2 linked regions of the Drosophila melanogaster genome follow. The protein of the gene in region 2 interacts with the protein of the main gene of each other region in a biochemical or structural test. Each region holds a gene or a part of one and is shown on either strand. Other genes may lie near its edges.

The links.
Region 1: of the proteins of PK1-R (region 2) and Capa, one has a biochemical effect on the other in vitro, tested with the Drosophila melanogaster proteins (one study listed by BioGRID).

Annotation. Positions count from the first base shown.
Region 1 is NT_033777.3:29,912,491-29,916,646, reverse strand, and holds Capa (capability), read left to right. Parts: upstream 1-2,300; 5' UTR 2,301-2,389; coding exon 2,390-2,453; intron 2,454-3,044; coding exon 3,045-3,206; intron 3,207-3,276; coding exon 3,277-3,506; 3' UTR 3,507-3,656; downstream 3,657-4,156. Other genes in the region: trp (transient receptor potential), read left to right, coding at 8-227, 439-604, 660-820, 880-1,034, 1,095-2,051; CG31036 (uncharacterized protein), read right to left, coding at 3,866-4,156. UniProt on the Drosophila melanogaster protein: CAP-1 and CAP-2, but not CAP-3 are ligands for the Capa receptor. CAP-1 and CAP-2 are probably components of the signal transduction pathway that leads to Malpighian tubule fluid secretion via the second messenger nitric oxide.
Region 2 is NT_033777.3:14,099,023-14,104,721, forward strand, and holds PK1-R (pyrokinin 1 receptor), read right to left. Parts: upstream 4,101-5,699; 5' UTR 3,696-4,100; coding exon 2,837-3,695; intron 2,309-2,836; coding exon 2,091-2,308; intron 1,929-2,090; coding exon 1,776-1,928; intron 1,687-1,775; coding exon 1,624-1,686; 3' UTR 810-1,623; downstream 1-809. UniProt on the Drosophila melanogaster protein: Receptor for the neuropeptide CAP-3/pyrokinin-1 (TGPSASSGLWFGPRL-amide). Also activated weakly by other neuropeptides terminating in the sequence PRL-amide including pyrokinin-2, Hug-gamma, and ecdysis-triggering-hormone-1.

The sequences.
Region 1 (4,156 bases), about 16 Mb from region 2:
CTCCCAGCGAAAGTCCATGGAACGGGCACAGACGCTGCATGACAAAGTGATGAAGCTGCTGGTCAGGAGGTACATTACGGCGGAGCAGAGGCGGCGGGACGATTACGGCATTACCGAGGATGATATCATTGAGGTGCGCCAGGACATCAGCTCCTTGCGGTTCGAGTTGCTGGAGATTTTCACCAACAATAACTGGGATGTACCCGACATTGAGAAGAAGTCGCAGGGTAAGGGAAGCCTACCCACATCCAAATTGGCAACTTACACGTGTCTTAAGATAGAAGTAGCAGTATATATGAATAATTATTTACAATTAGCTTTTGAATACCTAATAAAGTTCACCCCATCTTGAATATTAATTTGAAATATGTTGTGCTAGAAGACTACAAAGCTAGAATGGATTTTAATGGATTTTATTCACTAAACTTACTTTTGAAGGAGTTGCTCGAACCACCAAGGGCAAGGTGATGGAACGTCGCATCCTTAAGGACTTCCAAATCGGCTTCGTCGAGAATCTGAAGCAGGAAATGAGCGAATCTGAGAGCGGACGAGATATATTCTCATCGCTGGCCAAGGTCATCGGCAGAAAGAAGACCCAGAAGGGGTAGGTCCACTTAAATCTGTAAGACGCTTTGAATAATGGTTATTATTCTCAACAGAGACAAGGATTGGAACGCCATTGCGAGGAAGAATACTTTCGCCTCCGATCCCATTGGCTCCAAGCGCTCCTCCATGCAACGTCATAGCCAGCGAAGCTTGAGGAGGAAGATCATCGAGCAGGCGAATGAGGGTCTTCAGATGAACCAGACCCAGTTGATTGGTAAATTAATAAAGATGTGCCCAATGTATGTATATTTCCATACCCTTGATCTCCTCCAGAATTCAATCCCAACTTGGGTGATGTGACGCGTGCCACAAGAGTGGCTTATGTCAAGTTCATGCGGAAGAAGATGGCTGCCGACGAGGTTTCCTTGGCCGATGACGAGGGTGCTCCAAATGGCGAAGGCGAAAAGAAGCCACTGGATGCCTCTGGGGTACGTTCCAATCAATATATGTATATGTATTCCCTGGCTAATATATAATCTCACTTGCAGTCTAAAAAGTCCATAACTAGTGGTGGAACTGGAGGAGGAGCTTCTATGTTGGCTGCAGCTGCTCTAAGAGCATCGGTTAAGAATGTGGATGAAAAATCCGGAGCCGATGGCAAGCCCGGCACGATGGGCAAGCCAACGGATGACAAGAAAGCAGGTGATGATAAGGATAAGCAGCAGCCTCCCAAGGACTCCAAGCCGTCAGCAGGTGGTCCCAAGCCCGGGGATCAGAAGCCAACTCCGGGTGCGGGAGCTCCAAAGCCCCAAGCAGCTGGCACTATCAGCAAGCCCGGTGAGTCACAAAAGAAGGACGCTCCGGCACCACCAACCAAACCTGGAGACACCAAGCCTGCTGCGCCGAAGCCTGGAGAATCCGCCAAGCCCGAGGCCGCTGCCAAAAAGGAGGAGTCTTCCAAGACCGAAGCTAGCAAGCCGGCAGCCACAAATGGAGCAGCCAAGAGCGCAGCTCCCTCCGCTCCTTCGGATGCCAAGCCGGATTCCAAACTGAAACCTGGAGCAGCTGGAGCACCAGAAGCAACTAAGGCAACCAATGGGGCCTCCAAGCCGGACGAAAAGAAGAGCGGTCCGGAGGAGCCAAAAAAGGCTGCAGGAGACTCCAAGCCAGGAGACGATGCCAAGGACAAGGATAAGAAACCCGGCGACGATAAGGACAAGAAACCTGGCGACGACAAAGACAAGAAACCTGCTGACAATAATGATAAGAAGCCAGCCGATGACAAGGACAAGAAGCCGGGAGACGATAAGGACAAGAAGCCGGGTGACGACAAGGACAAGAAGCCGAGCGATGATAAGGACAAGAAGCCTGCCGATGACAAGGACAAGAAGCCAGCAGCAGCTCCTCTGAAGCCGGCGATCAAGGTGGGTCAGAGCAGTGCCGCAGCTGGCGGAGAACGAGGCAAATCCACGGTCACAGGACGCATGATCTCCGGCTGGCTCTAAGCCGCGGAATCCACTTTCATAGCAATTAAATAGTTAAGTCCTTTGTTTGTGTGAATAATAAAAAAAAAGAATCTCAAGTACCACGTTTCTGCAACTTGTTGCTAAAGGCCACCTGTTGCCAGCAACATCTCATTTGCATCGCAGCAACATTCATCATCCGCCCCGTTGTTCCGATGGCAATTTGTTTGTCTGCCATCCATCCGCCTGCTTTTCTGGCCTATAAAAGAACGTGAACTTCGACCAGAGGAATCAGAAGAACCGTGACCGTTCCGAGGATAACATCAGACCGAAAAACATATTCGCCAAGCCAGTGTTTCGTCCTAAATAGTCTTGCAAATATGAAATCTATGTTGGTCCACATAGTTCTAGTGATTTTCATAATCGCCGAATTCAGTACAGCTGGTGAGTGGTGGAAACATTACAAAATCGCTTTTAAGGAAATCTTAAACAACAAACTAGTCTATCTCGACTAAGTGCTGCTGCTATCTTTTGTTAACTTTAAAGTGAAAATAGTTAAATGCTTTTTAATAATGTTCAATAATATTTTGCAGCACCTTTAAAAGAAAGAGGTAATGGTAAAAAGACCTTTCCAATTTTTCATTAAAATGTTCTACTTAGAAAAGTTGTTTATTATTATTTTATTAACTTTTTTTTTAACACTTAAAGCACTTCTTGAAGAGGCATGCAATTTAAGTCGTACACAGTGTCTTTTTATATCAAGCTCTTTAAATCAAAAAGGTGATTTCAAATCTAACCGCTGAAATAATAAAAGCCACTTAAGAAGAGTTAAATATCAAAGAAATAGTTGTGGCACTCTAAATCTATAATTCAAATTTAAAAAAGGTTTTAATCACAAAAAGCCTTAATAAAAATATTCAAGTCACTTGAGTTACTTTGGCGGTTAGGCTACGAAAATAGCTTATTCCACGGAGACTTAAGAACAATAAGATGAGAACATTTGAATAAATTGCAATCCCCAAACACTCCATTCAGAGACGGACCACGACAAGAACCGACGAGGTGCCAACATGGGGCTCTATGCCTTCCCGCGCGTTGGTCGCAGCGATCCCAGTCTGGCCAACAGTCTGCGCGACGGATTAGAGGCCGGAGTCCTCGACGGCATTTACGGAGATGCCTCCCAGGAGGATTACAATGGTAAGTCGTTGCGGCCGGATACGGTTGACTAATTGGTCCTAACGCCCCGGGGACGCATGTGCCATTCCAGAGGCTGATTTCCAAAAGAAAGCCAGTGGTCTGGTGGCCTTCCCACGCGTTGGCCGCGGTGACGCCGAGCTGAGGAAGTGGGCCCACCTTCTGGCTCTGCAACAGGTGCTGGACAAGCGCACGGGACCCAGCGCCTCCTCGGGATTGTGGTTCGGTCCCCGGCTGGGAAAGCGCAGTGTGGACGCCAAGTCGTTTGCGGACATCTCCAAGGGACAGAAGGAACTCAACTAGACACACTGACTCCCCCTTTTGACACTCTGAATGTCGTAGATACTTTTGTATATCAAAGAGAACGCTTCTAATTGAATATTGTAACGGGTATACAGCAAATATGTTTTTCGGTCAAATATATATTATGAATAAGGGCTGGTGAGAGCTTGTAATTAATGTCTTTGCGTGTCCTTCTTGCCATTTCAAGTATGTAAATATAATAAATCATATAAAGTAGCCTGCTCAAGTACCGCGTTACAACTGGGATTCCTTTTGGAGTATTAAGAAAAGTTTATTCTAAATGAATTGCAAACAGTTTTGGTTCGGACATGAATGATACGCCATTGCCATGACATGGCTAAGATCATCCGTTGTGGGCTCTACTCCTGCTGTTGCTTGAACTTTCGTAGCTCGGACTGTATGGCCTCGATAAGGGGTGCAGTTCCCGTTCTACTGCCCGATGGAGCAGTCGCATCCAATCGGGCCTCCATCCTCTGGAAGGGTCCTGCGCTCACTGGACGATTCAGGGTGGAGTGGGAGCTGTACATACTCCCACCTCCCCAGGCACTGTAAGTAGGCGACGGAGGTTGCGTCGAGTGCGCCGACTTGGACGTCTTCTCCGGCTGAGCGGTTGCCGGACGTTCAGCTAAGCTCTTGGGTTCCGCCGAAGG
Region 2 (5,699 bases):
AGTATTTCAATGTCATCTGAAAGAAAAGTTTAAATATTGTGCGTCAAAATATCGCTTATTTAAATTTTTTTAAAATTTTGAATAAATAAATAAATAAATTTTACGAGTGTGTAGTACTTAAAAAATCTGAGCCAAAGAATTCGAAAGGTATATTTTCTTTTTCTTCAATTTAGTGTATTAAAACTTACTTTATTACAAGGTATCCCAAGTTTGGATAGTAATTTAACTCACCCATTTGTCGTTTTTTCCGCTTCACCTTCCTGCTGCTTTTTCTTGCCCGATTTGCTCGTAAATCACAAACTTCATAATTTCTACGTCACTTTGCGGACATGTGTGCGTATGGGTGTGTACGTGGCTTTTGCTCCTCTTGCCGGTTGTATTGAGCCAATTCTTTTTTGGCTTTACGTGACGTTGGCAGAACAAATCGTTTTTGTTTTAGCCATCTGACTTGTTTGCTCCTTTATGGCCCGCTGCGCTTTGGACTTTGACGCATTTGCGTCGCTTTAATGCGATTGCTGGTTGCTCATTACGGCCAATCCTTACTAGTACTTGCACTTTCTGTGAATTCGTCTGGGGTTTCCATTTGGCTGATTGCATTTTCATAACAATTTGGAGGATTACTAATGCGCCACGTTGTCCCTGCATTTGCATGACCTTGAACCAGTAGCCACCTCATTAGAATTTCATTTGTAGTCAACAAGGCGCAGACGACAGGGCCACAATCGATAAAAACCCAAATGTATTTTATGGCCAAATTACATTTTTACTAGAATGAATCCATAGAAAGATGCGGAAAATAAGCGGGCGCGGAATATGCTAAGCTTTATTTGCAGCCATGGGAATAATCTTAATACAGCAAATTCATCCTTTAAGGTATCTCTAGAAGTAAGTTTAGTAAGCGAACTTTGTCCGTCATTTCCATTGAGTTGAATGCTACATTTTCGAAATCTTATTTTAAATGCGATTCAATACAATATACAGAATCTACTATGTTTAAGATCGCAACATTTTTTTTTACACTTTCTTAACTAAACACTTTAAAAGCACATCTGTGTTACACTTTGGTATGCATGTGAAACATTTGGTTAACTAAAACATATATCTACGCAATTTAAAAGGCGATCTATTAAATTTCAAGGGGCAAGCTTTTCGTTTTTAAATTTAATTCCTATATTTAAATGGTGGGCGTTCACTAGTGATTGATTTATGCTTACCATTATCGATAATATTATTAAGTTATATCCGCCTCAGGCTTGTTTAAGAGTAAATCCCCCGAGCTCTGACCAAAGTTTAATTTTAAGAGCGCCAGTATGCTGAATAGTATGAGTCAAAAGATTGAATATTCTTAGACTGAATAATTCTGAATACTTGAAAGACTAGTTTAGGAGTTTTTCCAGCCGTTGTCCGCAGCTGAATGAATGAAAAACTTAATGCTTAAGGGAGAGTGTGCGCTCGACTGTGATTAACTTTTAATTGCCAAATGCAAATGAATGCAAAAGCAGTTTAAACAAAACGCTTTGGTAGCAGCAGCAATAGCAATAGACGACAAATAACTGGCTTAAACAGAATTCAAATAAATTAGCATCAGGAAGCCGCACGAGAGAGTGAGTTCGAGTTTATCAGTTAGTTGACTTGGACACCGATCATGGCGTACTGAGCGGCGACTGGCGGCTTGTTCGTCGGATTCTGGATGTGGAGTACACATAGAGAGAGAGAGAGAGAGAGAGAGAGCCAGTTAATATCGAACCTATCCATTGATTATAGGGGGCACTTGCCTGCATTATCGACGGTTTCGGCTGCTCCGCCGACTCAATGGAGAAGCGCTGCGTTTGACTGGAATTGGTTAGTGCCCTCCTCAGGCGGCGCGATTCGATGTTGTTTCGCGAATTCAGCGAACCCTTCGATACCTTCTTGCCAAACAGAACGGCCTAAAGGAGTGGGAAATCGGTAAGGTAATTAGTTAAATAGAAAAATTCAGACATTCGAATTATTAATAAATATATTAATAAATATATATAAATATTTATAATACAGATAAATTTGAAATATAGTATTGCGCATACTATAACCCCCACTTCCGTTTTACTCACCTTGAATGCCTCTCGGAACTTGTGGCTCATAATGTTATATAACAGCGGGTTGATGCAGGTGGACAAGTAGTAGAGGACACCGGAGACATAGGTCATCACCGTGTAGACAAACTCGTGCTGATCCCGCAGTTTGGCCCCCCGTGCAGGGGCGTAGATGGCAATCAGTCGCTGGGCGTGGAAGGGGGCCCAGCAGAGGAAGAAGCACACCACCACGGCCACTAAAGGGGAGGGGGGGGCGGTAAAAGTCAGTGACGTGGGGATGAAAATGGAATGGCAATGGAAATGGGGAAGACACAGCGAGAGTCACAGATAAAGAGTCAACGATTATATTTTTTGGTAATCGCAATTGTCATCATAAATGGAGAGTGCCAAAATGACAAACGCAGTAAATTGGCTGCAGACGGGTTGATTAGCCCAGCTTAGGGCATATGGTCAAACAGTTGGCATACACTGAGCAAAAGTTGAAGTAAAGCTTCTAAAATGGTTCTTCATTGCATATAAAGAAAGATTTAGATATCATATTTCAGAATTTTTAATTTGCAAGACTTTTGTGAGAAGACTAAACCTTATTAAAAACGGAGTCTTCTACTTTTGTTTTTGTCAAAATTTCTTACTAATTTAATCATCTGAATACTATTAAGTCATGTTTACTTAATGGTTAGCGGTTTAGAGATCTGTCATTTAATTTGTGATACCCCCGTACTATTGCTGGTATTTTTCGCCAGTGTATATCGTGCTATAATTACCTAGCATCCTGAGTACTCGCCGGGTGCCATAGTGATTGAGCCGACCTCTCACCGAGCTAAGTTGAGCCCCCGAGCCGCCCATCAAGCCCGCTGTCCCTGCTCCACTTCCTCCGCCGTTGAAACTCATAGCGGTACCGGATCCACCATAGCGATATAGGATCGTATCACTGGGCACACTCTTCAGCTGCTGCCGTCTGGCAACCGAGGCAGGACCCTCCACCAAAGTGGATCGATACAGGTGCACACCGATAAGTAGGTACAACACTAGGATAATAGACATCGGAGCCAGGAAGAATATGAACGTGGACAGCTGGAATGAGTGCTTCACTATGACCCGCACTATGCCGCATTGCTCCACTCCCGAATAGTGCTCGATTCCAAATTGGGCAGCCTGCGGAATGGCCGTAACTATGGCCATAATCCAAACCAGGACGATGATGCGAATGGCGCGACTGAGTTTACTCATGGCCTGGCCCAGAAACGGATGGCAAATGGCAATATACCGCTCCACCGTGAAGGCCGTAATCGTTAGCACCGTGGCATTCGCCGATGTCTCCGCCAACAGACCACGTCCGATGCAGATGTACTCCCCAAACACGTACGGGTACTTGGACCAGATGTAGGACACCTCCTGCGGAACGCCCGACAACAGGAGCAGGAAATCCGAGATGGCCAGCGAAAAGAGGTAGTAATTCGTGGCCGTGTGCATTGAACGGTTCTTCTTAATCACAATGCAGGTACTTATGTTGCCCACTACACCGGTTATGAAAATGAGGGAGTAGACCACCGTTACGGGTATCACGATGGCCAGCGGATCGCGTGGCGGTCCAAGATCATGGCTCATATTGCCAGCGGACATGGCGCCGGCGGCCTGGAATTTTTCCCCTTTTGTTTTCACAAAATTTCCACTAACAGCGCTAAATTCCACTGCCGTTTAACTGCTGCGGCTCCGGCTGCGACTCGATGTCCCCTCAACTATGCTAATTATAATAATTTATTGGAGGCGACCGGGCGGAGGAGGGACAGGTCTGGACTCGCGCTTCGCAATGCTAGATACTCGATTCTAAGATTCAGATACTCGACTGGCACGCAAACGCACCAAATTACCGACGAGGTCGAGATCCGTATACCGTATTCAGTATTCAGTATTCCGTATTCCCGGCTGTTTTTCTAGGGGGCCCGACTTCTCTTCAATAAGTTATCGAGTTAATTTGATTTCGATTCGAATTCTGATTCCCGAGAGCAGCCTGCAACCGCACTCCAGCGCGCTCCAAACTTATCTGATAAGCCGCGGCGACATTTCATTCAGATTTGTATCTGTATCTGAAAGCCAGCGACGAAGCGTCGCTGTTTTTCCCTCACATGAACGCGGAAGGTGAGCGACATGGTTGTAATGACCGAGCGTCCAGCGAACGTGCCGGCTCAATTAAATCTTGAAAAGCGGCGATATCTTGATGGGACTAGCCGATGTTAGAGACTAAGCACAATGGCTCCGAATACAACGCAATTTTTGGGTAATTAAAAAGGCTAATTAACAAAAACTTGTAATAATGTTTGCTTTGGCCCATTTATAAAACACTTAGTTGGGAATTTTGACTTTGTGATGCACATAATCCTAAATAAACCACGATAATGTAAACAACACATCTTGGAATTAAAAGCCAAAATAAGATGCAATAATATTAGATGATGCAATAATACCAAATGACCGAAGGCCACCGTGCGTATGAGTAATGTCCAGCCAGCTTACTTGTTAGCTTATAAGTAAGAATATTGTTCTTTGTTTATCTTACTAAAGTATATTGAAATGTAAACAAATAATAATAATTACAATTCAAATCTAATTTAGATTAATTAAACTATATTTTGTGTAAGCTTGTGATGCACAGGGCGTCAACTTAGCCCAACTTAGTGACACCACCATTCGAAATTTCGCGCACCTTCCAGTCTTATTTACGGGTCCGTCTCGGGCCGCATTCGTGTGTGTATTTTGGCAACAATATTTCATAGTGTCTATGGAGCAGCAACGTTGGCTCGGGACATTAGCCACTGTGCGCCAACAACAACACAAGAGGCCATGGTAGAACCACCAACTTGGCCGAATGCGCCTCGCGATTCTCAAGACAGTTCGGGCTTTTTAGTTGCTTCACGCCGTCGACGAGTGACATTTTCTATGGCCACATAATATTTTCATTCATTTGTTTCGTTTCGTCTCGTTTAGCACCGGCAAACGCTAAGTGTGCCGACCCCTCCCCACCTGGATATGGCCAGATATAGCCGCCCCCCTGCCCAGTTATTGGCCAAAACCCGGCACACGCCTCTTGATGGGTGTCAAAGTGCGTGCAATGTCTCTGGAATTTGGCACGAGTCGAATGGTTTTCCCCGCTTGAAAAGCTTTTCATGTGCAGCGGGGAGCTGCAAAGCTTTCTACCCACTGTTTGTCGAACTGGGGGAAATGAATCGAACCCATCAATCAACGTCGGTCGGTGATTTGGGTGAAGGATGAAAGCTTATGTGCTGCACCGCCACGGAAGTTGTCAACTGCAAAGTTAGGTAGGGCACCACCGGCACTATATTTAATCAAAAAACAATAAAAAAAAAACTTCAAAAAAACAATTGAAAGTTTTATCCATTTATTTAGTATTTATTAGATTTCTTCAAAAGAAGCTGAATATCTTTTATACGTAGAACGCATCTTATGTTAAGTCCTCTACCATCGTTTCGATTAGCATATAACACACGCAAACATTTATTAAATGTTTTAAGTTGATTAAGTAAAGTAAAATTCTTCAAAAGAATATATATTCCAAAAGTTCCGTTCTTTCTTATCGGGAGAGTCTTGCTTCCCTTATACCTAAATCCA